Linked DNA regions of Canis lupus familiaris. The protein of the gene in region 7 binds, or shares a complex with, the protein of the main gene of each other region. Links are inferred from orthologs where the notes say so. Each region holds a gene or a part of one and is shown on either strand. Other genes may lie near its edges.

The links.
Region 1: NUP98 (region 7) and CETN3 share a complex: the UniProt entries of both Homo sapiens proteins name them as parts of the nuclear pore complex. The link is inferred for Canis lupus familiaris from reciprocal best matches to the Homo sapiens genes NUP98 and CETN3.
Region 2: NUP98 (region 7) and RANBP2 share a complex: the UniProt entries of both Homo sapiens proteins name them as parts of the nuclear pore complex. The link is inferred for Canis lupus familiaris from reciprocal best matches to the Homo sapiens genes NUP98 and RANBP2.
Region 3: NUP98 (region 7) and NUP205 share a complex: the UniProt entries of both Homo sapiens proteins name them as parts of the nuclear pore complex. The link is inferred for Canis lupus familiaris from reciprocal best matches to the Homo sapiens genes NUP98 and NUP205.
Region 4: NUP98 (region 7) and NUP214 share a complex: the UniProt entries of both Homo sapiens proteins name them as parts of the nuclear pore complex. The link is inferred for Canis lupus familiaris from reciprocal best matches to the Homo sapiens genes NUP98 and NUP214.
Region 5: NUP98 (region 7) and NUP85 share a complex: the UniProt entries of both Homo sapiens proteins name them as parts of the nuclear pore complex. The link is inferred for Canis lupus familiaris from reciprocal best matches to the Homo sapiens genes NUP98 and NUP85.
Region 6: NUP98 (region 7) and CETN2 share a complex: the UniProt entries of both Homo sapiens proteins name them as parts of the nuclear pore complex. The link is inferred for Canis lupus familiaris from reciprocal best matches to the Homo sapiens genes NUP98 and CETN2.

What each region holds. Positions count from the first base shown.
Region 1 is NC_049224.1:18,661,682-18,666,332, reverse strand, and holds the start of CETN3 (centrin-3), read right to left. Parts: upstream 3,178-4,651; 5' UTR 3,038-3,177; coding exon 3,021-3,037; intron 801-3,020; coding exon 665-800; intron 1-664. UniProt on the Homo sapiens protein: Plays a fundamental role in microtubule-organizing center structure and function. As a component of the TREX-2 complex, involved in the export of mRNAs to the cytoplasm through the nuclear pores.
Region 2 is NC_049231.1:36,161,601-36,165,567, forward strand, and holds part of RANBP2 (E3 SUMO-protein ligase RanBP2), read right to left. Parts: coding exon 1,828-3,967; intron 1,224-1,827; coding exon 1,146-1,223; intron 1-1,145. UniProt on the Homo sapiens protein: E3 SUMO-protein ligase which facilitates SUMO1 and SUMO2 conjugation by UBE2I. Involved in transport factor (Ran-GTP, karyopherin)-mediated protein import via the F-G repeat-containing domain which acts as a docking site for substrates.
Region 3 is NC_049237.1:12,345,689-12,350,147, forward strand, and holds the start of NUP205 (nuclear pore complex protein Nup205), read right to left. Parts: upstream 3,160-4,459; 5' UTR 3,031-3,159; coding exon 3,003-3,030; intron 1-3,002. UniProt on the Homo sapiens protein: Plays a role in the nuclear pore complex (NPC) assembly and/or maintenance. May anchor NUP62 and other nucleoporins, but not NUP153 and TPR, to the NPC.
Region 4 is NC_049230.1:52,962,830-52,966,796, forward strand, and holds part of NUP214 (nuclear pore complex protein Nup214), read right to left. Parts: intron 3,027-3,967; coding exon 1,200-3,026; intron 1-1,199. UniProt on the Homo sapiens protein: Part of the nuclear pore complex. Has a critical role in nucleocytoplasmic transport.
Region 5 is NC_049230.1:6,129,618-6,133,781, forward strand, and holds the end of NUP85 (nuclear pore complex protein Nup85), read right to left. Parts: coding exon 4,131-4,164; intron 3,375-4,130; coding exon 3,257-3,374; intron 3,153-3,256; coding exon 3,052-3,152; intron 2,011-3,051; coding exon 1,859-2,010; intron 1,450-1,858; coding exon 1,348-1,449; intron 989-1,347; coding exon 890-988; 3' UTR 805-889; downstream 1-804. UniProt on the Homo sapiens protein: Essential component of the nuclear pore complex (NPC) that seems to be required for NPC assembly and maintenance. As part of the NPC Nup107-160 subcomplex plays a role in RNA export and in tethering NUP96/Nup98 and NUP153 to the nucleus.
Region 6 is NC_049260.1:122,023,476-122,027,970, forward strand, and holds the start of CETN2 (centrin-2), read right to left. Parts: upstream 3,140-4,495; 5' UTR 3,100-3,139; coding exon 3,001-3,099; intron 2,084-3,000; coding exon 1,925-2,083; intron 1,614-1,924; coding exon 1,485-1,613; intron 1-1,484. UniProt on the Homo sapiens protein: Plays a fundamental role in microtubule organizing center structure and function. Required for centriole duplication and correct spindle formation. Has a role in regulating cytokinesis and genome stability via cooperation with CALM1 and CCP110.
Region 7 is NC_049242.1:26,405,209-26,409,175, forward strand, and holds part of NUP98 (nuclear pore complex protein Nup98-Nup96), read right to left. Parts: intron 1,794-3,967; coding exon 1,677-1,793; intron 1,509-1,676; coding exon 1,210-1,508; intron 1-1,209. UniProt on the Homo sapiens protein: Plays a role in the nuclear pore complex (NPC) assembly and/or maintenance. NUP98 and NUP96 are involved in the bidirectional transport across the NPC. May anchor NUP153 and TPR to the NPC.

The DNA.
Region 1 (4,651 bases), on a different chromosome or scaffold from region 7:
GCTTCTCTCCCTGTGCCTGTCTCTCTCTCTCTGTGTCTCTCATGAAAAAATAAATAAAATTAAAAAAAAAAAAAAAAATGGAGCTACCAAAATGTCGCCTTTCTCATGCTGAGTGTGAGATCTGTACTACCCTAAACTTTAATTTTCCCTCACATCTTTATAAATAATTCTAGGCCCTAAAGTTGACATTTTCCCCCATTAGCACTGCGTTGACATCAGACATCACTTATATTGTTTGCACTAGAGAAAGTATGTACAGAATGTATTACTAACGTGTTCCAATTAAAAGAACACTCTCACAATGTGAAAAAAGAATGAGTCATACACAAATGAAAAAAAAAAAAACCCAGCAGTGGCAAAAATACAGTAAGAACTGTTTAAAACCTATAGTTTGAAATCTTTTTATTACATGAGTGAAAATAAGGCCCTACCATAGTAATATACTTTTATATTTAAAATACTATTCGCTTCACAGTGTGAAAAGGAAAGTCTAAAAAGATGCTAGTATTTAATTTTATTATAGCACTTAACTGTGAACATCTCAAATGGTTTCATATTTCCACAACCAGTTTAGTTAAAATACTTTAGATGGGTTATTTTAGCCAACTATAGAAAATGCAAACAATTTTAACAGAAAAATATACATTTTAAAGTACATTATTACCTTTAGTTCATGATAATCTATTGCTTCATCTTTGTCTGTGTCAAACAGTTCAAAAGCATCTTTAATTTCTTGTTTCTGTTCTTCAGAGAGTTCTCTTCTTTTTTTTCTCTTTGTTTTGTCTACTACAAGCTCATTTCTATGAAATGAGAAGAAAAGTCTATTCAGTCTACTTTAATTCTATTCTCCTACACATCTAGATAATTAAAATTTCAAAATGCGACAAAGAAATTAAACAAGGAAGAATTTTTTTAATTTCTAAAAAGGAATTATTTGAGAGAAAAATGAAATTTTTCTTCCCATGAGTCAAAGCCTTGCTCAATCCATAGTCTAAGCTGCTATAAATCTGCACTTTCCAAAACTGAAAAGTGTTACATGTTATTATAAGAAAAAAAGGACCTAACTTTCTTTCCTTCTGGCTTTGTATTTATTCTGATATTAATGTGGAAGAAATAACTGTGAATAAAAAAATTATTCATCACAGAAATCGCAACAAAACTAAAGCACTCCTACTTATTAACATTACTCTACAACATAGTATTAAACTAATCAAAGGAAAATTCATAATTGAGGATCATTGCATATTTGGCTTACTTTTGAGAGCATTTATAAGTTATCAAAATTACTACCAAAAAAAGCGTATCACTTAACAATTAACTTACAAAGTTTGTGGCATTGTGGGTTCAAAGTGATTTACAGTACACATTGCTAAGTTTGGGGCTTTATTTATAATTTCTTCCATTGATATTAACAAATCAACCGAAATACTGAAGTCTAAATATACCATGAAAATTAAAAGCCAAAACAAGAATGTTTGTGCTAATTTTCTATATTTTTTAAATTTCTTAAAAGGAATTATTTGAGAGAAAAATGAAATTTTTCTTCCATGAGTCAAAGCCTTGCTCACCCCATAGTGAAGAGTCCATGGTTTTCTAAATTTCACTTGTAAATTTAGATATAGCTTCTCCTAAATCCTGGAAATTTCTTGAAAGTAGATTTTATTTAAAAAGGCAGAAATGGGGATCCCTGGGTGGCCCAGCGGTTGAGCACCTGCCTTCAGTCCAGGGCGTGACCCTGGGGTCCCGGGATCGAGTCCCTGCACCGGGCTCCCTGCATTGGAGCTTGCTTCTCCATCTGCCTGTGTCTCTGCCTCTCTAACTCTCAAGAATAAATAAATGTTAAAAAAAAAAGGAAAAAAAAAAAAAAAAGCCAGGTATGTCTTAAGAGATACTCATCTTAGTGTTCCAAAATTTCGAATGGTGCCGCAACATCCGTACAAGAAGTTTGAAACCAATTTCCTAACACTTTGAAATGTAAAGCCTAGTTGATTTTATTTAATAAAAACACCTTACCTATTTGCCTGTGTTTTGCTTTCTAAAAACCTACCACAAAACCGTCAAGAGACAGACGATCAGAAGATGACCAGGAGACCTATAGTAATAAACAGAGCGGGGGGACAACCTTTCACAAGACACCTGACTTCGCGCGAACAGGGACCCCAGTCCCCGCGGTCACCTTCTCTGGACGGCCAGGTCAACAGCAGGACCCGCCACGGGGTCGAGGCAGGGCTGCCACCATCATCTCCCAACCCAAAGCCGCACCTGTTCAGAAAGGCGTAACCACCTTTTTTTTTTTTTTTTTTTTTTTTTTTTTTAAGGTGCAACGTGTAAAAACATCTAGGTGCTGCTGCTGCTGGGGGCAACGAACGGGGTTAGAGATTGGAAGTCAATGAAAGGTAAACAAAACTAAAAAAAAATTTTTTTTTGAGAAATCAATTAAAGTCATTTATATGGGTCGCCCGTTATATCTTAAAGCAGGGCCCCAGGATAAGAGCAAGGAAGAGTTTAAAGCTCTTTCCAAAATTTATAGCTCGGTCTGACGGCTGCAGGGGCTGCAGGGGCTGCAGGGGCTGCAGGGGCTGCAGGGGCTGCAGGGGCTGCAGGGGCTGCAGGGGCTGCAGGGGCTGCAGGGGCTGCAGGGGCCGGAGACCCGGAGGGCGGAGCTGAACCCAGGGAGGCTCCCCGGCCTGACTTCGCGGAGAAACACCGCGAGAAGAAGCATCGCGATATTTCACTCCCTCCTCCCAACTAGAAACCCATCTCCTCGGTGGTGCAAAGCCCGACGCGCTGATACAGACGCTAACTACCTCGGCACAAATGCACGGGACTCCTCACCTGCGGAGCACCAGGGCCCCCAGGGTGAGGAATCCGAGCCAGGAAGGCTGGCCGAGGCTCCTCGCCCTCATCCCAAAATGCATCCCCTTCCAGCTCGCCTCGGCCCAGCTACCTCCCTTCTACACACGCCAGCCCTGGGGCCCGCTGCGAGGTGTGGAGGGCATTGCGGCCTCCTCATTACCGACCTCAGAGCTAAACTCATTTTCTCTTCGGACAGAGACGTTCCCCTCGAGAACGACTTTAACGCCCTGCCCAAGGCAGCACGACTTCCACAAGCCGTTCAACAGACACCAACGACCTCAGCGGCCTCAAGGACCTCCCACAAGGTAGACGCTTCGGAGTCGGATTGGTTGACGTTGCTAACAGCCCGCCCATTGAGGCGGAAGCGTCCCTGGTCCTCTGCTCTCATTGGGCGTGCTTCGCGTCAATCAAAGAAGCCGCTCGTCCCTCTTCTTCTGCCCCTCCTCCCCGCCCTTTATTGGCTTGTTGAGGTTTCCCGGAATCCTTTGCGGAGCGAGGGTCCAGGTGTCTGCGTGGTAGTTTGGGCGGTAGGTGGCTGCACCTTGCCTCCCGCTGGGTGACCGCCGACGAGATGGACGGCTCCGGGGGAGAAGGGAGGGAGGGAGGAGAGGCGCGCCGCGGGGCCAGCCTCCTTAGCCGAAGGGAGGGAGCGGCTGGGGAATGAGGCCTGCCGAATTTGACTGCGCTGTGTTCTAAAACCTTGGGTGGCCTGAGTCCATGGGGAGTTTGTTTAAAACGCAGATTTAAACGTCCCGTCCTCCCAATTCTGATTTTAGTAGGTATGAATTTGCATTTTTTTCCCCCTTACAATCCCACGTGCTTTTAAGGCAGGTGCTGTCGCTTATAGATTGTATATCTAATGGGTTGGATTATTAGGCTACTTACGGTAAAGCGGCACTTGACGGTACCTTAGCTCCCTTCTCCCTCCCTGAAGGGATCTGTTCTCTTGCATCCTTTGTTTTACAGGGTTGGAAGCTGCTTATACACGTTATATTATCTTAAGCTCCAAACTAAGTTCTTGAAGCTCACCTGGGTAATTTGTTTACTTGTTCATCACTCCTACTAGGCTTTCTTCAAGTGCAGGATGGTATCTTTCATTTAACGCGGATCCCAGTGCCTGATACGGTGCCTGATGCACAGGCGCTCAATGAATATTTGTTGCGTTGGGTGGGATCTTGCTGTGAAAACCCACAAATCACTGAACTAAGTTGTAACCCTTATAAAGGAGTGAAATAGCCTGAATATGGCGTTGAGGCAGGGTAAGGGGGAAGATGTATAAACACTATGGGCTATGTATAAAGGATATATATATATATATATATATATCCTCAACATATATATGTTTATATATGTTTTTATATATGTTTATATATAAATATGTTTATACGTATAAACATGTTTATATATTTAATACACATGTTTATGTTGGGATCCCTGGGTGGCGCAGCGGTTTGGCGCCTGCCTTTGGCCCAGGGCACGATCCTGGAGACCCGGGATCGAATCCCATGTCGGGCTCCCGGTGCATGGAGCCTGCTTCTCCCTCTGCCTATGTCTCTGCCTCTCTCTGTGTGTGACTATCATAAATAAATAAATATATATATATATGTTTATGTATATATTTATATATGTGTTTAGGTATATATTTTTATTATATAAACATATATATATATATATGTTTAAAGAAGGGAGAGAACCAGTAGGACAGAAGAAAGTCTTCTTGAAGGATTTGGCCTATATGTTAGGCTTAGAAGGATGAACTAAATTTGGACAGGTAAAACTAGTATGATGGTGTAAC
Region 2 (3,967 bases), on a different chromosome or scaffold from region 7:
CTGTTTCCTCATGTCTATATCCTCCATCCCTAAGGTCCTTCGGGGCCCTGACATTCTTGGACTTGAAACAGAATAAGGCTCTTCATCCTACTGTACTATACTGGTAAATTTGCTCTTAGGCCAGGGATACATTTTTTTTTTAGGATTGTATTTATTTGACAGAGAAAGAGAGAGAGAGAGCAGAAGCAGGAGGAGCAGCAGAGAGGAAGAAGCAGGCTCTCTGCTGAGCAGGGAGCCAACGCAAGGCTGGATCCCAGGACCCTAGGAACATGACCTGAGCTGAAGGCAGACGCTTAACCAACTGAGCCACCCAGGTGCCTGGGCCAGGGATTCTTAACCCAGGGTCCCATAGTATGCATGCAAGTATATGTCATTTACAGGAAGAAGTCCACACTTTCACATAATTTCTCAAGGAATACATTCTTAAGAATGAAGGTTAAGAGCTGTGTTAGCTAGTATTATGATTGGTATACTTTAAAAATGATGGGCCCCAAAATCAAGGATTGTCATTTTATCACTGAACATAGTTGGGCTGCTCAAGATATGTTATTAGATACTAATAAACAGTTTACATTTCCCTACCCTTGCTCCTGAAGGTCTTCAATAGACCCCCCCCCCCACTTCCTATTATTCCTCTCTAATACCAACATTGACTTTTGTAACATACCAGGTATATAATGGTCGCTATTAAAAACGGGGTCTACTTTCAAATATTATTTTTCTAAACCCTGTCCAAAAGGATAACTAAAAGGGAAACTGTTCCATGTGTATACATGCTCACAAACATTACCTTTGGCTAAAGATAAATGTTAGAAAAACACAGGTCTTCATTAAGCAGAGTCGAAAATAATACAGTAACAAAGTACAAAGCAGCAAAAGGTAAAGACCACATGGATCTATCTCAAAATATTGTTGTACAGGAGTGAGAAAACATGATATCTGAGTACATTAAAAAAACAAAAACAGTATTAAAGGGTATCATACACCACCAGTCAAAAAGTACTTGTTTAAACAGACATTCTTTTAACATGCACATTGTAGTGTTAAGTCCTTAATTTCATACAGCCAGTTATTTTGCAAAGGACTACCAGCTCCTTTAAAAAAAAAAAAAAAGTCATCTCATACTGAGAATACTAGCTCTATACCTTTGTTTTCAGGCTGTGAGGAAGGGATGCTGGTCCAAAAAGCCATTGGATTAGATTTAAAAAGGCTAAAATTAAATCCTAGAAAATAAAGAGTATTTTGTTTTTGAACATTTTGAGAATCAAAGTGAATGTGATTTTAAAATACAAAAAGCCAGAGACCCTCAATTTATACCAATTTGGCTGTCTCACATATTCATTTATCCTGGTAGTTTCATTCTTTGATCATTTAATAAATAGTGGTAAGACTACCTTATATATATTATATGTACATCTCAGTACCACGTTTTTTGAGTGACAAGAGAATACTACATTGAAGAATGAACACTTAAAAAAAATGAGACTTGAGTTAATGTTTGTGATTTAAGTACGAGTCACTAAACTTTGGTACTATATTAGGTTCTTGCTCTCTGCACTAAACATGATATAAATATCTTCCAGTTACTCAGATCTCCTAAATGACCTACACACACCCACTCTTTGTTGCTATTTAAACAGTCACAGGGAAACACATTTAGGGAGAAAAAAAAAATCTATACCAGTATTTTCACTGTTCATGAAGCACTGTGTTTATGACCCAACTTTTACTAAAACATTAGTACTCTACAAAGAGTATATGCGTTAAGCAAAATAGTTACAAATCAATGGAAGAAAAATTTGCTCACATTAAAGACTAAGTGCTTACCCTTTTCTGGTGTTTTAAATGTGTAATTAGTTGAGGACTCCTCCTTTGGAAAAGCAAAGAGATTTCTGACTTTGCCGTCTGAAGACTGTTTGCTATCTGAATTCTTCGACTCTTCACCATTAGGTTCCACTCTTCTTTCAGACCCACTCTTGACCACTGAACTGACTTCACTGCTGTTATTTTTCAAAGGTGCATTAAAACTAAATCCAAACAAAGACCCAGTGGCTGAACTGTGACCAAACGCAAATGGTTTTGATTTTTCACTACTGAAAATACTTTTAACAGACTCTGAACCAAATACAAACTTCGGAGGAGAAACCACTGCTTTTGTTGTTGCTTCAGATGTGCTAGATACTTCTCCAACTTCTGAAGTTGCGTCTGCTGTGTTATCATCCTGAGTTAAATCTGTCCGCTCTCTTGTGGTTTCTTCTAATACAGCTACAGCAATTTTGCCACATGGAGACTCTCTGGGAGTGGTTGAACGAGAAACATGAGGTGTTATCAAAGAATCTTTTTCTTGTGCTATTTTTGCTTCATCAAATATTTTCTTAAATGAGTCTGCAACATCCTGTAGTTTAAAGCGGACAGCTAAATGTTCTACTTTTCTTTCCCCATCTGCAAAATCACAGGCAGTCCACACCCACACTCGTTCTGTCCCTTTCATATTTTGCAAAGTCATGTCTGGAGTTATTCTGTGATTGGCACAAAGTTTTAACACCTGGTCCCTTCTCATCACGATGCGAACTTGCTTGTTATCATAATTCTGTAAAATCTTTATATCACCAATGCCTCTTTCTTTCCACTGACCAACATCTTTATCATACCTATAGAGTTTTGCTCTGTGACTAAAAACAACTTGTTCATTTTCCTCACCACTGGACACTTCCACTAGATCAGGCAAAGGTACAACAGGTTCAAAATACTGTCCATCTCTCTCTTCTTCTTGAGTAACATCAGATTCTTCATCAGTGCCAACTGAGGTACCACTCTGATTTAACTTGGCAGGAGACTTAGATGGACTCAAAGCAGATTTAAAACTAAAGTTAAATCCTGTTGTTGACTCACCAAAGCGGAAGAGATTTTTCCTCACGGGGCTACTTGCCAATGGAGAAGCATGCACTGAGCTACTACTCACACTATCATCCAAAGCATCTTCCCTTAAATCATAGTTGTCCCACTCCAGTGTGGGCCCTGTGTTTTCGGGATTTGGCTTGCTGATTGTATCGGAGGCATTGGCAGAACCTGCATCAGAGCTCTCACTCTCTCCATCAGTGACTTTTGTTTGATCATTTGTCAAAAACGTTTTGAAATCTTTTAATCCACTCTTCATTTCTTCTGCTCTCTGGATTAACTTGGCAGCTCTGCCAGTATCTACAAGTTTATGAGGAGTCTGAAGTGGTATATCTAATAGAAGTCTCTGGCATTCCTCAAATTTCTGTTTGAATTCTTCAGCCAGCTCTGGTGTTTTAAATTTTGCTGCCAACTGCTCTAGTTTGGCATCACCATCAGAAAAATCACTCGCTAACCACATCCATGCTCTGTCAGAGCCAGAGAGAGGCTTCAGGTTCATGGTAGTTGTTATCCAATGATTAGCACACACTTTTAGTACCTGTTCTCTTCGCATTAGCATTCGCAGTTTGCCATTTACTTCATTCTTGAGAATTTTTAAGTTTCCCAGGCCCCTTTCTTTCCACTGACTTATCTCAGCATCAAATCTAAATAATTTTACCCGCTGTGAATAAAGAACTTTTTCATCTTCTTCTCCTGTTACAAGTTCCACTTTTTCAGGCATCTGAACTACTGGTTCAAAATGGATGTCATCACTGTCCTCAGTCCGATAGGCATCATCATCTTTCTCAAGGTCAGCAGAAGTGTCAGCTTTATCAGCCATTTTACCACTTTGTGATGAGAATAATTTTTCTCCCGCACCTGAAAATCCTTTGAAATTAGGGTCTTTTTTGCCAAACTGAAATCCTTCTCCTGAAGTTGATTTTGCAAGATCTGCAAAGGTAAAAGTGCTACCAGTTTGACCAAAAATCACACCACTATCATTCTTCTGACCACTGATATCCTGAGCCTGAACACCAGTGTCATTTTCAAGGGGCTTTTCACTTTTCTTCTCTTGATTTCCAGGCTCCTG
Region 3 (4,459 bases), on a different chromosome or scaffold from region 7:
GTAAGGGAGGCAACTGGCATAGCACGCAGGGCTCCCAAGCCTATATTACGGATTTTGGTCTTTGCCCTAAAAGATTAAAGAAGATAGAGATTTTTAAATATCTAAGGTACTTAATAGAAAAACAGGGCAGCCTGGGTGGCTCAGCAGTTTAATGCCACCTTCAGCCCAGGGTGTGATCCTGGAGACCCGGGATCAAGTCCCACATCGGGCTCCCTGCATGGAGCCTGCTTCTCCCTCTGCCTGTGTCTCTGCCTCTCTGTGTGTGTCTCTCATGAATAAATAAATAAATAAATAATCTTAAAAAAGAAATAGAAAAACACATTTACTTTATTGAAAGCTAATGTTTAAGGGGACGGGAAGAAACTAGAGTGAGTAGGGGAAGAAGAGGTATGGAAATAGTATCAGTAAAAACTGATGAATCTTTTGAAAGGTCTGACTGTGAAGAGGAGCAAGAGGATAGTAACTGGAACAAGGCATGAGATCAAGATCCAAAGAAGAGGCTAGTGGAAAGAAAGGGAGCAAGAAGAGATGTGAATATCCGAGAGAGAAAAGGTAGTAGGGAGAAGGGCATAAGAGGTGGGATTTAACTCAGACAAAGGGAAACCGGTGAAAACGAGTATAGATATAGATCCAGGTTTGTAGGTTTGAGGGTGGAAAAAAAAAAAGAGAGTGCATGCCTACAGGCTTCTATTTTCTCTGTGACTAGGAGGCTGAGGGATCAGCTGGAAGACAAGATTTGAGGAATGTGGAAAAGTCTGAGATAGTCACTGCCGTGAACAGGACAGGGGTGACCAGATGGCCACAGAAGGCCTGTGTCAATCAATGGCTGCTTATCAACAAGTCTGTATGTCTGCTCATCTGGGATGACAACAGGTCACAACACCAATAAATCATGCCGCTGAATCTCAAGCATAGGTCTTAGACCCTACAACCTCTATTTTTTCCCTGTCTACGATAAGATATTTGGCTTTTTTTTTTTTGGGGGGGGGGGGGAAGTAGGAAAAAAGAACTAACAGAATTTGCTATCTTAAACATCTTCAAGGGTAGAGTTCAGTAGCCAAGGGCATCACACTGTTGTACTACAAACGTTCAGAATTTTTTATCTTGCACAAAAGAAACTCTGTAACCCATTAAACAACTCCCCATTTCTCCCTTCCCTCTGGCAGCCAACATTCTGTTTCTAGGAATCTGACTACCTTAGGTATCAAACATAAGTGGAACCACACAGTATTTATCCTTTTTTGGTTTTTTGGCCGGCTTACTTCACTTAATACAATGTTCTTAAGGTTTATCTATGTTGTAGCATGTGACAGGATTCCCTTTTTAAGGACAAACATCTCGTAGTCCGTATACACTACATTTTGTTTATACACTCATCCACTTATGGACATTCAGGCTGCTACCCTAGGATGTTTAATTAAATATACATATATTCTCCTGACTCCTGGCTGTGAAAAATGATTCCTTTCCGTGTTGTCGATTACACACTCCTGTCACAAGGCATTATACAATGTATACACTCTTTGCAATTGTTGGTAACTCCTTTTCCTCTTTCCTCCAATGATTTATGTTTAATGACAGTAACTTGGTATGTACTAAAGAATAGTATTTAACCACACGTGTAACATGCAAGCCTTGTTTTTAAGATTATATCTGGGTAGGGAGATTGGGACAGCCGTAGTAAGAGTATAACTTCATGGGCAGCCCGGGTGGCTCAGCGGTTGAGCACCTGCCTTCAGCCCGGGGCCTGATCCTGGAGACCCGGGATCGAGTTCCGCATCGGGCTCCCTGCATGGAGCCTGCTTCTCCCTCTGCCTGTGTCTCTGCCTCTCTCCCTCTCTCTGTTTCTCATGAATAAATAAATAAAAATCTTAAAAAAAAAAAAGAACATAACTTCATGACCCGCATTCATATATATATGAAAATCTGATGTAATAAAATGAATTAGCTTGTGCTTTAAGTAGTTTAAACACCTGAGTCTGGCTTACGACCATTATTACCCTATAACCCTCAGTGATGTTACTTAACTACCCCCAAGTCTTTTTTCACCAGTCTGTAGACTGGGGTACTTAATAGCAGCTTCTCCGTAGGTGTGCAAAGGGGATTAGATGAAATCATGCAAGTGCAACAGTCCAATGCCTGGGGACATATCAGAGGCTCGATAAACATAATCTTTTATCATTTTTTTTTTTTTTTTTAAAGGTAGGACAGAGTCACTGAAATGGCTAGATTTGCAGAATTCAGATTTCGACTTTACAGTAATACCAGTCCTATGGCAAGTAGAACCAAGCACTCGCACCCCTCCCCCAACCCCACCCTCGCCCCAAAAAACCCCAAAACACTGCGGGGGGGGGGCGGGGGACAGGAAATATTACTCTTGAATGACATTCTCTACCAGTATGTCATAGACACGCTGCTAAAACTGAATCCAAAAAGCTAACTGTATGTCACTGAGCTGGAAACTGCGTTTTGTTTTGTTTGGGGGAGGGAGGGGGGATTGTGTTTTTAAGCCCAGCTCCGCCGCGTGCAGGGCTGAAGGCATCCTCGCCCCGCCCATGAGGCGCCGAGAGTCTGGACGCCGCAAACGCACCCACTCCTCCCAAAGCCTCAGGGGCGGCACCGCCCAAGGCTGAGACACCCCCCTCCCGGCAGGATGCACCCCGACTTCCAGGCCCCCTCTCACTACCGTGTCGGATCCGCCTACTCGGAAGTGCGCGTTCTCAGGTCCTCCGGCCTCACTGCGGGGAGATGGGGGGGGGGGCCGCTGGACCAAACCCCCCTGCCTCCCTCCTGAAACCCCACCGTGAGGGCTGGGGCGGCAGCACCGAGGCGCGCCATTCAAACCGGGGAGGGCTGGGACTCTAGGCCCAGAGCTAGGCCAAAGCAAGCACCATACCCACAAGCGAGGGCCTGCATTGCGAGGAACCTCACGGCACCTCGCACTAAAGGACCAACCTTCGTCCTGCCCAGCAAGTTCCCCCTTCTGCCGCGGCCGCCCTTACCCGAATTTACCGCCAACAGCGTCGCCATCTTGGAGGCGCCCTAACGGAGCCCTCCTGCCGCACGGAAGCCCCAGGAAAGGGCGAGGCTGCCCGACGCGATGCCTGAGCAGAAAGGTAACACCCTGTCTCGGAGTGGCACTCTCCACACACTCAGAGGCGGAAGAAGCCTTGAAAGGCGGCTGTAGAAGAAGAAGACGAAGAAAAAAAAAAAAAGCTGCTGTACGTCACAGGCGCCAATTTTCGCCGCGATCGGCTCATTCAAATTAGGCGAGGGCAACCGGTTCGGAGACCGGAGGGCCTCGATGTGACGTCAGTCGTGTAGTGGATTCTGGTCCTTGTAGTTTTTTTCCCCAATGATGAGTGACGACATCAACAGAAAGATGAGACTGATTATTGAAAATTACGCCTATTAAAAAAAAAGAAAATTACGCCTATTTACGATATAAAAGCCGTAAACTCAGGTCATTATCTCCATATCAAGTTACACCTTCCTTGCATTTCTCTCTGAGGAGTGGAGTGAGGTGTAAGGTATACAAATCTCAAAAAGCTATTTAATCAGTTACAAACTAAGTTTTCATTACATTTCAATATGGCAAGTGTATTGCATCAACATTGTTGCATAGGTTGAAACAAATCTAAGTGAAACAAATCATGACTTTTGTTACATTTGTCAAATGTATACAAAAGTAGAATAATGAACACCCAAAGTTCAATTCGCGGCCTTTACTCCACCCCTAACAGGGAAGATTATTTTGAAGACCTTTCCAGACAGATCTCATAAATACCAAATATTTTTCTACCTAAGCACCCTCAAGTAGCTGGATCTTTTTCTTTTTTAACATTATTTATTTGAAAGAGTGAAAGAAAATGAGCAGATGGTGGGAGCAGAGGAGAAGGGGAAGCAGACTCCCCACTGAACAAGGACCAGACCTGGGGCTGGATCTCAGGACCCCAAGATCATGATCCCAGCCAAAGGCATACATACACTTCACTGACTGAGCCACCCTGGGACCCCAAATAACTGGATCTTCTTTTTTTTAGTTACTGAATTTTAGTTTGCAAATTTTCCAACTAAAATATAGTCATTACCATTTATTATTCTATGCCAGATGTTTATTACCAATTTCACATTATAGGATAATGTACTGATTATTATTATATCTCATTTAATCCTCAAAACAACCCTATTAGGAAAATGATGTTAATTATAGCTGATTATCTTAGAGATGTTCCCTCTGCCTTACAATCCCAATTTATCAACTCCTCCAACATTCCACTGAGGTTGGGAGGAGGTAAGGGTTTATATATTTTCTACTTCAGAGTTGGAAATCAGAATTACATAATTTAGGCACAATCAGAGCAGGCATGTTCATTCTTTTGAACAAATTGTACTGAGGGATACAATGTACATTAGGTGGGAGACAAAGGTCACTGACAATTCTTTTTTGAAAGTCATT
Region 4 (3,967 bases), on a different chromosome or scaffold from region 7:
CCCAGCCGTGTCACTGATCTAGGTGGGTGAGCTCAGGCAAGTGTCAATTCTTCCACCAGGGCTTAAGTATATTGTTCAGGTACCTTTCCACATAGTTACTAGATGAAAGATTTTTTCAGAGGTTCTCAATTATGTTCAAATAGTTGGATTAAACTTGTGCATGAGGGATTCTCAGGTTCAGACTGCAGAAAAAGGATGCACCCCAGTGTGTGGAACACCCTTCTCTGTGAGACTCCTCAGGCCTTTCCCCTTGCCCACTCTCCACAACCATCATCACATTTCCCATAATTCCCACAGGCCAAACAGCCTCCTGATAGGGCAGCAGGTAGATCTCAGGACTCTTTCAGCTCTGTGTCCTTGTAGCTGAACTTAGTGGGAGCTTAACAAATATTTGTTGAGGGAAGGAAGGAAAAATTTTCCTTCCTGATAAATTATGAACCATTTTCAAATAAATCATCACCATGTGAACGAATAAGCAGTTATTCATAACCTTGCCCAACAAGAATTCATCAATCCCTGTTTCTCCTCCCACAGCCTAACTGAAGAAATGCCTTTTCCCTAAGATAATTATCAGAAAGCGAAATTATTTTCAAATTGTCTTATTGATAACTTGTGGAAGTAAAGGCAGCTGCTAAAATTGGACACACAACAGTGGATTGTGTTTTACTTAAAAAAGTAACATTTAAAGATTTTTGTTTAATTACACTGAAAATGGGGAAAAAACACAACTTCTCAAACATCAGTATCTGCCCTCATAGCAAGTAAGATGGCGTCAGAGGCAGCAGGATATAAAATGTTGGCAGGGCAGCGAACTAGGAGGCACTTCAGAGTCTGGTTCTGGCTCATGACCTTAGATGAGTCTCCTCGAGGCTTGACAGTTTGGGACCTAACAGCCTCTAAGCACCTTCCAAATCTAAAGGTATGAACCTTGCTATGACCTTAAGCTAAAGATGTGTGTTTTTCCCCATGAAACTGGCACTCTGCTGACTAAGACTGGAGAACTTGCTGAGGAGCAGAACTGCAGTGATGGTGACAAGGCCCAGGAAATGCCTGAGGCCGCCAGTGCTCTGAGGTGCCCTTCTTGAATTTGGAGTCTCTCTTTTGTTTCCCCTCCTTTCTTTTAATTTGAAATACAGGATTTTTGCAAATGTTTCAAATAATGCAGAGGAGAACAAAGGGAGTCTTCTGTAAATTCTTACCTGAAGCTTGACAAAAGCTAAACCCAGAGGATGACGCCACCGTTGTGGTGGTGGCAGAGGTGCCACCAAACACAGAGCCTCCCTGCCCGAAGCCAGGACTCTGCCCAAACGCGGGAGGGTTGCTCTGGCCAAATAGCACCCCTCCTGTGTTGGCAGAAGACTGTCCAAACGAGAAGGAGCTGGAGCTACTGGTACTTGAGGAGGCACCAAAGACATTCCCACTGGCAGACGTGGAGGTGGAAGATGCGGACTGGCCAAAAGCAGGCCCAGAGCTGAACCCAGGCTGATTGAAGGAAAAGCCACTTGCAGGGCTGCTGGTGGACTGCCCAAAGGCCGGAGCCTGTCCAAACGTCGTCTGTCCAAAGACCCCGGTGGCTGAGGTGCCGAAGGCAGGGCTGCCAAAGCCTGAGCTGCTGACCGGAGGTGTGGCGGCTGCCGTGCTGGCTACACTGCCAGTCTGTGGCCCAAACAGGCTTGGTGCGGTGCTGACGGCCGCCTGCCCAAACACAGGGGTGGTCGAGGGGGCAGTGGCCGTGTTGCTGGGGAGCTGACTGAAAGCTGAGCTAGAACTGGCAGCGGGGGGCTGAGTGAAGACAGATGAGCCCGCGGTGGCAGTCCCAAACACTGGTGTCTCTGTGACTGGGCTTGGAGCAACACTGGAAACAGAGCTGGAGGTTACAGGGGGACCTGGGGTTTCAATGGCCACAGGGACCACGCTGGGGACTGCAGCAGCCGTGACAGTGCTCTGCCCAGTTGCTGAGAGCGTTGAGGTGGGAGACGCTGATTCCGTCCTGACATCGGGGACTGTGGGGGCAGCTGGAGCGGCCTCGGCACCAGGTGCTATGAGACTGGTATTGGAGCCTGCAGGGCCAGGGCTGCTGGCTGCAGGCTGAGCCACAGCAGCTTCTTTTTTAACAGAGTCGGAAGTCTGCAGAGGAGCCTGGGGAAGTGAGGTTGACGGCTGCGGCCCCAGAAGCGAGCTTGTTGAGGCTGAGACCTCACTGTTGTCTGGCTTCTCAGGAGAAGCTGATGACGTGGATTCCTCTGTGCTTTTCCCAGAGGCCACAGGCAGGGTGGGAGCAGATGCTGAATTCAGGAGGCTACCAAAGGACAATGTGGGGAATGCGGTAGGAAGGGGGGTGGCAGTTGTTGCTGATGGGGGGGTAGGTGGGGGTACCATACTACTCGTCTGTTGGTTGCCAAAGGAAAAACTCGTCTTGCTACCACCTGGGGTCATCCCACCAAAACCCATTATCCCTGAGGATCCTGCACTGGTGAGGGGCAGGCCGCCAAAGATGCCAGTTGAGGAGCTGCTAGTGCTTGTGCCAGCTGCCGCTGGTGCCCCTGCAGTGGTGGTCACAGAGGAGGTCACGGGGGGCTCTGCATGCTTCCCTACCAGGGGAGGGCCAGTAAAACTAAACCCCGAGGGGACGGTTGAAGTCTTGGCCGGCTGCACACCAGTCAGGTTTGTGGATGAAGCCTTAATGGTTGGTTTTGTAGAATCATCTGCTTGGCCGACGCGCAGTCCTGAAAAACTTCCCAGGGTCTCTCCAGCCAAAGAACTTGGAAACAGAAGCTCTCCCAACTTGGATGGTGGAGTTTCCAGCTTGCCAGAGGCAGTAGAGGCAGCAAGTCCAGAAGGTGCTGCAGGTCGGCCACTGGAAGGCGCAGGCTCCGCAGGAGAGGTGGTGGTGGCTCCAGAGCTGTGTGGCGCTGCCATCCCCGAGGGTGGGGAGCTTTCAGTACCTGGCTCATAAAAAGTTTTGCCTCCCCCGCCAAAGGAGAATGCGTCGAGCTGGTGTGACTCTTTAGTGGGGGGTGCTGCCCCTAGCAAGAAAAAGAAATTAGAAAGTGGGTTGGATTTAGCAACACATAATCTGTCATATTCCCACGGACTGTTTCCAAGCCCATGTCTCTCTCCCCTCGATACAGTCGGGATGGCTGTCCTGGGACAGCACTTTTCCTTGGGGAAACATAGTGAAGGCTTTTCCACGAGAGGGCTAGTTCTGAGCAAGCTCACGGAGGTGAGAAGAATAAACATCCTTTTTGTGACCATTACATCATAACTAACATACTGTCCTATCTAGAATGCATGAAATTCACAGGGTTATCACACTGTGATAGAGAAATAAAATGACATCTTCTCTCTTTTTTTCCCTGTGTGTGCCTTCCTCAATAATACTTTTGACACAGTGCTTGTCTACGGACCTCCTGGTAGGCCAGGACTTGATCCAAAATGGAAGTTCCTCATGCGTTTTTTATGGGCAAAGAAAATATCAGTACACAGACAATTATTTTTATGTACAATGAAGGGTCATTCCCTAGTGCTCACTCGGTAATCAGCTTTACATAAAGAGGCAATATGACCCGGGGGTCAAGGTCATAGGCTCTGGAGCCTGGTACTCTGCCACCTGCTGTCTGTACAACTAATAACTCTGAAAAAGTTACTTTACCTCTTGGGGCCTCAATTTCCCCATTTGAAAAATAGACATAGTAAGAGTAGCTACATCAGAGAGCTGTTATAAAGATGAAATGAAACAGGTGAAGCACTACCAACTCCCGGTCAAATAGTAAGCGCGAATAAAAGTAACCAAAATATGATAGTTCTAGGTAAAATTCACCTATTACAGTGTTTATTGATGTTTCTAACCCATATTGTTCTAAGAAGTCTGGTTTCTTGGAAGACTGCAAAGCCCCAATTTCCTGTGTACAATTTCCTGAAAAACCTTGTATCACTGCTGTTGTACTGGGTTGCTTATGGTTCTGGG
Region 5 (4,164 bases), on a different chromosome or scaffold from region 7:
CAGCTGGATGGCACAGAGCCATCTTTGGGGAAAGGTGGCACAAACCACACTCCCTGATCCCTCCCTGCACTTTGCCAGGTTTCCTTACTGTATTCCTTCCCTTCCATCTTGAGCAAGCAGGTTTCACTGCTTCATTAGGACAAGTCAAAAGTGAATCAGTTTCACTACCTATAAATTTAAGAGCTTTCCAGAGACTGGCTGCTTGCAGCCCTGGGAAGATTTGTGGGATTACTATATGGAAAATACACCTTTATAATAAGCTTTAGACATTAAAACTATCTGAGTGTTACTACTGAAGTCACTGCTTTGTGACAAATGGCTGTGTACAATATACTGACTCTGCTGCCCTTGTTTTGCTGCATGTCAAATAAAATCATTTTTGCCCTACCTGGAATCCTAATACAGATGACCATTCACTCTACTGTGGACAAAGCACCACTTAGGAATTCCAGACGTATACAGGTAGATATGCTGGCATCACCTGAGATTTTTGTTGGTCAAAGTACAGGTTCCTGGACCTTTTCCTTTTCTAAAGTAAAAACCAGGTAAAGGTTCCAGTTGATTGTAAAGGCTAAATTTCAGAAGCGTAAGTAAACCACTGACCACTCTTGTTTAAGCTAATAGGGAAGGAGGGCACTGCACTCACCGTCATGACTTCTAGGAGTGGCTTTTTTTTCTCTTGGAAGACAGGGAGACCAGTTCCATCCAAGGAAAACATAACAAGCACTTTCTTAATTACCACCAACCTCAGGTTCATAGTAGAGGGGAAACTCCCTAGGCTGGACTCCAAGAATTTGCCTTCTATTTGGGGGAAGAAAAATTTATTTTTTCAGAAATCTATATACATTGCCATATGAAAATGACACATTGAAGCAGCTCTTGGCTGACCTCAGGATCCTTCCAGTGAGCCTTCTTTTATAATGGCCCGGCCAAGATTTCGTGCAAGAGCAAGTCTCAGCATTTCCAACTTCGTGTTCTCCACGTCCTCCTAAAAGTAAACAGAGCCAGCGTGAGGTACAGCAGAAGTGTTCCTTCTTTAAAGCTCTGCAAGGCTCTATCTGACCCAAAGGCAGACCAAGGGCATTTAGCATTTAGTACTAGCTTCCAGCAAGTTGACAGAACCACATGCAAAGGCCCACTGTGACCGCCAGAAGAAAAGAACAGAACACTAGAACCACCCTACTTTCTACTAAAGAGTTGGGGGTGTCAATAACAGGTTAAAAGGTAACTCAAGAAGCACAAGTTTGTAAGGAGCCAGTGTTTCTGGAGGAAAGTAGGGAAGTCTAAGATGGAAGGAGCCTTTTCTCATCACCATTATGGAATCAACAATCCAAAAGCTAAAATAACCTGGAGTCGCTGAACACCAGGCTCTCTCCACACTGGCCTTCTTGAGGCGAAGTCCTCTAGACATCTCATCAGCTCATATGTTTGCTCTGCTGAAAAAACCACCTAGGAGAGAGAGGAGTGGCTGCTTTGCTTAGTTGCTCCCCAGGCAAGGGCTGCACTGGTCTGGGCATGCACCTGGGTTCAGAGATGGCCTTTGTGCAAACCCTTGGGAGGAGTGAGCTCTGTATATGCAGCTCTGGGAGGACAGAGCCCTTATGCTCACTCTCAGCCCTTCCTGTCAGGGCCCTAGGCGGAGTACTATCCGTAGACTGCTGCTTCATTTCAAATTAAGTAGCTTTTCTTGGGTAGATACCAGATTTTCAGAGTGGGCGTTACAGGGGAATGCACACATACGTGCAGGGCCCTACTTGGGAGATGATGTGTGGATGTGCACCCACAACAGCTACAGAATGAAGCACAATCAAGGACTACAAAACACAGAGAAGAAAATCATTCTGAATTCAAACTGTACCTCTTTCTCTTCCAAAAGGGGCAAGGCATCTATTAATAGTATTACCCAGAAAGACCGTGGGGCTATCTGGGAAGTCATCAATGACAGGAGAAGAGAAGCTGCATCAGCAAGACGCTTCTCCCCATAAAATCGGTGGAACTCGCGGTACTTTCCTATTGAGAAAACAGAGCACTGAGTCACCTCTGGCCCTAAACAAGATGAGAAACCCCAGACCAGCTGCTCCAAAGCAGGGAGACTCTTCCAGAACGGTCTCGAAACTCATGTACCAACAGAATTGAAAACACACATAAACACACACACACACACATACATTTTGAAGGAGCTCCAAAGAGCCAACCTCCCAGAATGTAACCACCAAACCAAACCAGAGACGTGGACTGCAACAGATTGAAGAACCCATAGGTCTCAATCTCATCATGAGGAAACCTGACATAAATCCAAAATAAGGGCATAAGAAAGCAGAACAGACTCTTCAAAAATGTCAAGGTGGGATCCCTGGATGGCTCAGCGGTTTAGCGCCTGCCTTTGGCCCAGGGCGTGACCCTGGAGTCCTGGGATCGAGTCCCACACATCGGGCTCCCTGCATTGAGCCTGCTTCTCCCTCTGGCTGTCTGTCTCTTTCATGAATAAATAAATAAAAATCTTTAAAAAAAAAGTCAAGGTGAAGAAGTGCAGAAGCACTAAGAAATGCAGAAGCACTACAGAGACAGGAAAACTGAATTTGTGAATGTGGACGTGACAAAAGCCGTCACTGGGAGAGCTGATAATAACCAGAACATGGACTAGAGATTTTATGAGAGCGGTACATTCGGATAGCTAGTTCTAGAAGAGGATGTGCTTCTCTTAGGAAACACGTGCTCAAGTATTTATGAAGAAAGGGGAAGAAACTCCAACTTTCAGATTACTCCCCCAAAACCTGAGAGAATAATAAATGAGGCAAAATAAAAATGGTGAATTTCGAGAAAGCGTACATGGGAGCTCCTTACTTCTTATATTACTCTTGTACCTTTTTCTCAAGTTTGACACTACTAGGAAATGTTTCCAGAAAATATGCTTTGTAGAGTCTGGCATACATAGTTCAAGGAATTTGGGCTCAACAGGAAGGAAACACTGGAGAAGCCTAAATCAGTCCCTCCCATCTGCACAACCCATCACTGTGCTGAAGGTCCGAGGGACAGAGCCCAGAGACTCACCCAAGAAGGTTAGTCGATCACTGAGCATCATGGCTGGCCCCAGGTTGTCAATGAGATCCAGATCAGAAAAGCAGCCTCGCTCACAGTAATCCTTGAGGAACCTGCCAGGCCCGGCCCAGAGGTCTGAGCAGCGGTCCCAGGCCACCTTCCTCAGCCTCCCGACTTCCCAGACAGTCCCCAGAAAGCCAAGAGAGGTTGAGCCCACCTGTCTGACACCAGCGTGGCAAAGGCAGCATCTTTGGCTCGGATGCTCCAAGATAGGGCAGAGCCCAGGCGATTGTTGCGGACAGCTTTCATGGCTAAGATCTTACAAATGCTGCGGACTTTGTAAGGAAAAAGAAGGTGAACTTTTCACCCTGCAGATCAGGCCGTTCTTGAACCTTGCCAGATAGGAGTAGGCTTCTCTCTCCTCTGAGCTTTCTGCAGCCTCTTCACAGGTTCCAAATACAACTTGTTGCCAACACTGGGGACTCTGGGGCTTATAAATTGCCTCCTGGTTCTATTAACACTATGTCCCATCCTGGCAGGAATGACCTTGTGAGTGGGTTTGATTTTAGGAGTACAAAAAGATTTTTATTGCTCCTCACAGGTCAGCTAATAGGGCATTTGTCCAGGTGCCAAAAACATCCTTTGGGTTTTGAATGCCATCCATACGTTTTCAGCGATGGTCATAAGCAAGCAGATGCCTCTAGAAAGAACTTGGGTTTTTATCCCTCAACAGTGAAAGGAGAGGGCGAAAATAGAACAGCTTTCTTTTTGTGCTCTTCCTGAGCTGCGACTGATCCTGCTTCCCCACTGAGACAGTCTTAGCTAGCAATAGCAACCCACCTGGGAGAAGTAAATTCCAAGCTGACCTCAGTCCTGACCTTCTTAGAGTAAGCAGGAGAGAGGAAGTGGGTCAGGATCTCTTTAAAAGGCCGTGTGCTCCACTGTTTTAAGTCCTGACACCTCCCTAGCCATTTGTCCTTCCTCAATAATTTTCCTGTTTTGGCTTATCTCTTGGCACCCACTGCCCAGCCGTTCTCCAGTCCGGCCAGAGCAGCATGAGCAGCAAGCATGCAGGAGGAGGGTGGGCTCACCTTGCTCAGTCATCTGCCGCTGCTCACAAATCCG
Region 6 (4,495 bases), on a different chromosome or scaffold from region 7:
TTTCTAAGCTAAAGAATCATCAGAGTAGGCATAGACCTGTGACCTGAGACACACAAGGAGTTACTTTTCCACAGGCCAGTTGAGCATAGACAAGCCACACAAAAGAGGAGCCAAAAGCCATCAAAAAAGTAATGGCCCAAGGGGAACATAAACATACATCCTGGGTGGGAGGACACTCAGGGGAGTGAGGTGGATTGTTCAAGTGACATATTATAGTCTTTCTTGATCCTCTGGATCCTTTAAAATGGGGACACGTGGGCAGCCCCGGTGGCTCAGTGGTTTAGTGCCGCCTTCAGCCCAGGGCCTGATCCTGCATGGAGCCTGCTTCTCCCTCTGTGTCTCTGCCTCTGTGTGTGTGTGTGTGTGTGTGTGTGTGTGTGTGTGTGTCTCATGAATAAATAAATAAAATTTTAAAAAATAAAATGGGGACAAGTGAGGCACTAGGGAATGGGTGACTTCAACCTTGAAAGTGCTGAAAGGATGCAGTGAAACGCTGGGACACCTGCACCCCGATGTTTACAGCAGCAATGCCCACAATAGCCAAACTGTGGAAGGAGCCTCGGTATCCATCGAAAGATGGATGGATAGACAAGATGTGGTCTATGTATACAATGGAATATTCCTCAGCCGTTAGAAACGACAAATACCCACTATTTGCTTCAACATGGATGGAACTGGAGGGTATTATGCTGAGTGAAGTAAGTCAATTGGAAAAGGACAAACATTATATGGTCTCATTCACTTGGGGAATATAAAAGTTAACAAAAGGGAATAAAGGGAAAGGAGAGAAAATGAGTGAAAATATCAGTGAGGGTGACAAAACATGAGAGACACCTAATTCTGGGAAATGAACAGGGGTAGTGGAAGGGGCGGTAGGCGGGGGGTTGGGGTGACTGGGTGATGGGCACTGAGAGGGGCACTTGGCGGGATGAGCACTGGGTGTTATACTATATGTTGGCAAATCGAACTCCAAAAAATAAAAATAAAAAAATAAAAAATAAAATCAGAAAAAAAGAAAAAAAATGAAAGTGCTGAAAGGCCAAATTCCCAGTGTAGTGGAAAACACAGCTGTCAGAAGTCACCCGCCCTCAGGCTAGAGCCGCCCAGAATCAGAAACGAGAGAGAAAAGAATTTTGACCTTTAAAGTATAGGCATTTCATATTGTCAGGCAGTGCAATATTGCTGGTGTTTACAGGTTTTACTGCTTGTGGTCAGCACGTTAACACATCAGTTGGAAAAAAATAATCACAAAAGAGTGACAGCAGTTCTCTTACTCAAAGGGTAAACTGACTTTTCCTGTGATTCTGTGGCCTTGAAGAGAGCCAGATAGAACCTAAGCATCCTGTCAGTCATAAGTACTGCCCTTTTTCAGCAGAACCCTCCAGTTGGTATTAACCTTTCTTCAGTGAAGACATTTTTATATCTAGATTCAAATTTGTTCACCAATATGGGTGGAAAATAGGCTGATTATCCTAGTAACTTACCATTTTCTGAGTCATCACAGTCAAGAAGTCACTAAAGTTCATTTTTCCTGTCCCTTCCTTATCGATTTCACTTATCATTTTTTTGATCTCTTCTTTTTTGGGTTCAAAGCCCAGTGCCCTCATTGCCACCTACAATGAAAACAGGATCATGTCAATATGCACATCAAAACCTGGCAGGAACAAAAATGACAGTGAGAGCATGAGGCCAGCATCTGACACAATCATGTTAAAATGACTGGGAAACACTATAGCGTTATGCAGATTGATATTTGTGCTCAATTTTATTTTATAACACTTGAGGTAAATAAAGACAGGAGAAGAGAAAAACAGGAAAACTTTTTGCAGGGAAAAGAGGGCAAAAGGGGTAGAGCAGTGACAAGGAAAGAAGAGAAAGAAGTAGAGGAAAGGAAGGCAGTACAGTGGGAATGTAAAGGGCTTGCCTTAAGTTCCTTTACGTCTATGGTCCCAGTTCCATCAGCATCAAAGAGATCAAAAGCTTCCCGGATTTCCTGTTTCTGCTCTTCAGTCAGCTCCGGCTTAGGACTCATCCTTTTTCGTTGGGCAGATGATGCCATGCTTGCCTTCTTAAAGTTAGAGGCCTTTAGGTGTTTTACAAACACAGAAGTACGATATTAAGTGATGCAATCCATATTTTACATAAAATAGTTACAAATATTTACATAAAATATTTACACCAAGCAATTCCACAGCTTTGCTTAATAGGAGAGATAACAGGGCTTTACTTGAAACAACAATCTTTCCGTGCACCGCTATCCCTCCTTCTTTTTTCCTATTCTTTGTAGAAGCAAGGAGATCCCGTGTTCCTTTGCACATCTCTTATTGAAAATCATCCCCAAAGAGATCCAGCCAAGGAGCTGACTGTGGATAACTGTACAGATGATCAGCTGTCCTTGAATTTGGCGATCCTAATTCAAGAAAAGCCCTTACAACATTGGCTCGCAGTATTCCTCCTCTCTGTACTCCAACTTTGTGATTACTTCTACATTTGGCCCAATATTACTACTTTGCTAAGGTGTATAATAAAATTCCATCCACTAGGCAGGTCTGTGCCTACTTTAATTAGATCAAAACGTCTCCCGAAAGATCCCTGTATTTATTCAGAATGCACGTTAACAATCAAACATAATAAACCTCCTCCCAGGTCTGTGGGTAAACTTTGGTAGCACGAAGCGACCAGGAGGTCAGGGTCTGAGAGGTCAGAGCCTGCGGGTAACCCGAGTATTCTTTGACCAGGGGCAGTCACGCGGGGGCTGGCAGGGGAAGGCCACGCGCGCCCGAGGGATGGGTGGGCGCAGACTGAACGAAGGGGAGGCGGCGCAGGACCGCAGGCCCAGGTGGCGGCCGACGTCTCTACCCTACCCTTCCGGGAACTAGCCGAGAGGAAGTAGGGGCACTCCAAAGCCGAGAGCGGCGCGGGAGCGACGGCAGGGCCACACGAAGCCTGAGAAGGGCTCAGCCCCTGGCCGCGGGGCACCAAAGGGCGGCCCCCACTCACCATTGCCGATGGACTCCGCGGACCGTTGTTACGGCAACCGACGTACACACTGACTCGGCGCCTTTCCCACCGCCCCGCGCGCGCGGCTCCGCTCCCCATTGGCAGCCCGCTCGCCGCCGCTGCTCCCCATTGGCGGGGAGCCGTGGTGGGTGGGGCTAAGCGGACAAAGGCCAGGCCCAGGGCAAGGGGGCTGTGCTTTCACAGCCGAGGCCTGGCCTCATTGGACAGGATCACATTGTGAGCGCCGATTGGCTGAGCCGGCGCCGAGCTGAGCCAATCCCCTTGGCGGAGGCATCTCGGCCGATCCTCGGCTCATGCTGGTGGGGAGAAAAGGGTGACCGCCAGCGGCCCGAGGCCTTTGGGTGCAAGCTGAGGGCGCGCGGAGGCTGGCCGGGGGGTCGCCTACGGACGGGTAAGGGTCACGACCTCACCCTCGGAGGCTGCCTTCTATCCGCTACTGGGTGGGAGGGTAGGGGGCTGGGTGGGGCCTTCCGGTTGGGGGCTTTCTGGTCTGGCTTAAGACTGAATTTGGAAAGAGGGGCCAGAGAAGACCGTGACCTTGAGGGTCAGAGCAGAGACTGTGCTCAAGGGACAGCAGAGCCAGAGAAGGGAATGGGAGTGTCGAGGAGGTGTGGACAGCTGCGACTTAGAAACCGAATCCCGCTGAGGCTCTCCCTTTGAGGGGGAGTTTTGAGGGAGTGAAACAGATATGACTGAGCATGAGGGGAGAGGTCATCAAAATGTACTTTTTGACACCCACTCGGGCGGAGACACTGAGCAAAGTCACACAAGAGTTTTGAAAGTGTGAGGGGTGCCTGGAGACTGTTCTTTTATAAAACTCTGTTAAATTTCTTTTGTTTTCTTTAATCATGATAAGTGCAGTCTTTATTTCCCATCACCAATGTAACGTATTCCCCCCCCCACCTCCCCTCTGGTCACCATCAGTGTGTTCTCTGTAGTTAAGAGTCTGTTTCTTGGTTGGCCTCTCTTCACCCCCCCCCCCATGTTCATTTATTTTGTTTCTTAAATTCTACATATGAATGAAATCATATGGTATTTGTCTTTCTCTGACATTTCACTTGCCATAATATTCTCTAGCCCCATCCATGTCAATGCAAATGGCAAGGTTTCATTTTTTATGGCTGGATGGTATTCCCCACACACGCACACACATACACACACACCCCACATCTCCTTTATCCACTCATCTGTTGATGGACACTTGGGCTGCTTGCATATCTTAGCTATCATGAACAATGCTGCTACAAACATCAGTGTGCATGTATCCCTTTGAATTTGTATTTGTGTTCTTTGAGTAACAGTAGTGCAATTACTAGATCATGAGAGTAGTTCTATTTTCAATTTTTTGACGAACCTCCATACTGTTTTACGCAGTGGCTGCACAGGTTGCATTCGCACCAACACCGGGAGACGGTTCCCCTTTCTCCACATCCTTGCCAGCACCTGCTATTTTTTGTGTTGTTGATTTTCGCCA
Region 7 (3,967 bases):
ACAAATATAGATACTTGGATTCTTAACATGAAAATATAAATTTGTTCCCTTAGGGCACTAAGTGGCCAGAAGATATATATGAAGGCAACAAGATAATTACAGAAAAACTTCAGACACTTCAAGAGTAACTATAAAACAACCCAAATGTTCACTAACAGAGATTAGATAAACCAAGTATGGCATACATTTATAATGGACTATTATTCAGCAATAAGAAAGAATGAACCAGGACATCTGGGTGGCTCAGTGGTTGAGTGACTGCCTTTGGTTGGGGGCATGATCCTAGGGTCTTGGGATCGAGTCCCACATTGGTCTCCCTGCAGGGAGCCTGCCTCTCCCTCTGCCTATGTCTCTCTCTGTCTCTCATAATTCATTGAAATAAACTTAAGACCTGTGTCCTTCACTACATATACATTATATCTTGGTTAAAAAAAAAAAAAAAAAAAAGAATGTGATTACATTCATGAAAACCCAAATAAGATATGTCAACACAGAAAAAGACAAGCCAAGTGCCTGACCAGCTCAGGTGGTGGAAAATGTAACTCTTGATCTCAGGGTTAAGTTTGGGCCTCACACTGGGTGTAGAGATTACTTGAGAATGAATGAATGAGTGAATGAATGAATGAATAAATTTAAAAATGCAAGTTTTAAGTGACCAATCGACATACTATAATCTTGTAGTTTATATTATGTGTTTCATGGATTCATTGGGAAAAAAACTAAGCAGTTCACTGTTGAGGAGAAAAAAAGCAAAGCACAGAACTGAGGTAATAATAATTAACCAGAGCAACTGATACCATTTGAATGCCTATACATTTCAGGCATTATGGTTTATATACTAATCTAATTGAAACCTCAAAAACCTTATATGATAATTATCAGTATTATTTTAATTAAAAAGCTAATAAGCAATCTATCTGAGTTTATAAAGCTAGGTAAAGTATAACGATAGTCTCTCTGGCTATAAAATTTGGGATCTTTATACCAGGATAACTAATGACATGAATTTTAACCACTCCAAAGGCAGAAAAAGTATGTGAATTAGGAATCAAAGCGTAAGTGAATAGTGTTTAAATGTTACCATCTATAAACATAATAAAATCATTTAAGATCTCTGGTAGCTGACTTCCACTAAATTGAGTATCTGTGACAAATAAGAGGTGTCAAATGACTGGTAAAAGATTACCCATGTACCAATCTGAATCTGACCTGCTGGATGCATATGGTAAGTATTATTTTCTATTTCTTCTCGGTCATCCTGAAGTGACTCCTCATGAAAAGAGGTCTCTTCACTGCTTCCTTCCAGCCCATTTCGCAAAGCAGCACGCATGTTTAATGCAACAATAGTATCATCCACACTGCTACTGCTGTTGTGTTTATTTCCAGCACTCTCTGGGGTTTGAGGAATGGGTTTGGCAATAGGGTTAGTATAAAAACGTGACACAAGAGAATCATCATCTCCATCCTGCTGATGGTTGTCTTCGACAGGTTTGCTCAGGAAGCTGAATCTGAAAAGGTAGAAAAGAAACAGTATCTCAGTCCTTTATAACAATGATAACAGCCAACCCTCACTAAATCTTTACTGAGTGATTGGCACCATTCTAGGTGCTCGAAATCCCTTCAAAGTGAGAACAGGGCTCTCTACCAGAAACAACTCGAAACAAAATTTGGTTTACCTCTCCCCATTTTCCGGATAATCAGATGGTGAAGCTAGATCTTCTGAGTCACGATTAACAGGAGAGAAGAGATTGCTATTGTTAAGGTTTTTCAAAACCAACTTCTTAATGCTCTTCCTATAAATAGAGACCAAAAGAGGAAAAAAAAAAATTTCAGGTACACATAATTACATCACAAGCATTATCTTAAAAACTAGAGTCAAAAAGAACATTCTTGTTCAGCTCTTACGTATCTAAAAATTACCTAACAAGTCAATTCACAATGTTTAATACATAACCAGAACCTAAGGTCTCAAATATATTATACTATGGCATTTGAAAGAATAAGCTAAACACATTTAAAATAAAGTGGGAAATCTCCTTGAGGACATTCTTCTCTGAACCCTGAGCACTTTATCCAAATACTTATTTAACCCATCACACTATGTCTTGTATTTCAATTATTTCTGTGTATGTCTTCTCTCTTTAAACATTTTCTTCCTTTTTTGACAGTAAGGATTCACGACTGTCTCCTCACAGAACCTGACATGCTGCCTTGAAGAAAATAGGAAGGATACATTTGCTGACTAAATAAGATTTCTTTTTAAAGATGACAAAAAGAGGGGCAGCCCGGGTGGCTCAGCGGTTTAGCGCTGCCTTCAGCCCAGGGCATGATCCTGGAGACCCAGGATCTAGTCCCAGGTCAGGCTCGCTGCATGGAGCCTGCTTCTCCCTCTGCCTGTGTCTCTGCCTCTCTCTCTCTGTCTCTCATGAATAAATAAATAAAATCTTAAAAAAAAATAATAAAGATGACAAAAAAAAAAAAACCAAAACAGGACCGAAAAACCCTGAGAGCCAATAATGCAAATAATTGCAAATACCTTAAAATTTCAGGTGTGCATACAGCAGATTTATTTAAGACAAGAACCTCTATCGTATATAAGCTTCAAACAGAAGAAACAGAGATCATCTTATCTTACTCAACCTCCACTTAAAAACCCCCTGGATTAATTCATGTGCCCAATCCTTCTTTCATAAACAAACTACAATGGGTGATGAAGTCAGTTAAGCATCTGACTTTTGATTTTGGCTTGGGTCCTGATATCAAGGTCTTGAGATTGAGCCCTGTGTCAAGCTCTCCACCCAGCTTGGAGTCTGCCTGGGACTCTCTCTCCCTCTCCCTCTGCCCCTCTCCGCTGCATGTGCTCCTTCTCTCTCAAATAAATAGATACATCTTTTAAAATAATTAATTAATTAGTTAATTAACAAGTAGTAGACCACTCTTGTATATTTATTTCTAATCTCAACAACTGAGTTATGGTTAATCATCAGTAGCATTTGTTACAAACACACATATGCTAGTTATACTCATTATAATCATGTAATATTTATTAAATTAGCCAATGAAATAAGCACTTGACAGTAAGGAATTAGTATTTCTGTGAAAATTAAAACTTGCTTTCCTATCAATGACGGACTGGGTAATGCAAACCGATCCTCCTAGGACTAGGAGGAGCCAGAGCTCTCAAACTAGGAGAGCCAGAGCTCTCTATAAAGCAAACAAAATAGTAAAAAAAGATTGAGCCAGCACTAAGGGGCACTGGCACAGGGGCATGTCTGTTATTTAGGGTTGCTTTTCTCCTGGGGGCTTTTCTGATTCTAAGAGGAAGGTTAAGGGGCGCCTAGGTGGCTTCATCGGTTAAGTGTCTGCATTTGGCTCAAGTCATGATCCCATGGTCCTGGAATTGAGCCCTACCTCTGACTCCCTGCTCAGTGGGGAGACTGCTTCTGCATCTGCCCTTTTCCCCCGCTCATACTTTCTCTTTTTCAAATAAATACACAAAACCTTTAAAAAAAAATAAGAGGAAGGTTATGAAGTTGATGGTATGCTTGACAGTCTTCATGGACTAGAGAGACAGACACTGGAGCCTAGAGCCACCAAGAGGTTAAGGGCACTAGTGAATGCCACTTGCTCTGTGTTGGGACCTGGAAAAACTCTACTCCTCAAGTTTAGAGAGAACTAAAAGTAAAAAACATAAAATCACAAGTTTAGCTTTGATTCTATCATCAAGCACCTATCATAAAAAAGCAAAAATTCTCTTAAAAGTCAGTATCATCTTTGACCTCTATTGCCACAGTTTTGAGAATATATTAACAGACATAAAATAATTTTTAAAAAGACACAGAGACACAAAATATTTCTTCAAAGAAGATAAATGGCCAATAAGCAAATGATAAGATGTTCAACATTATTAGTCATAAAGGAAAGAAATACCTCATAGAAAGAGATATCTCATAAAGCATGAGATACC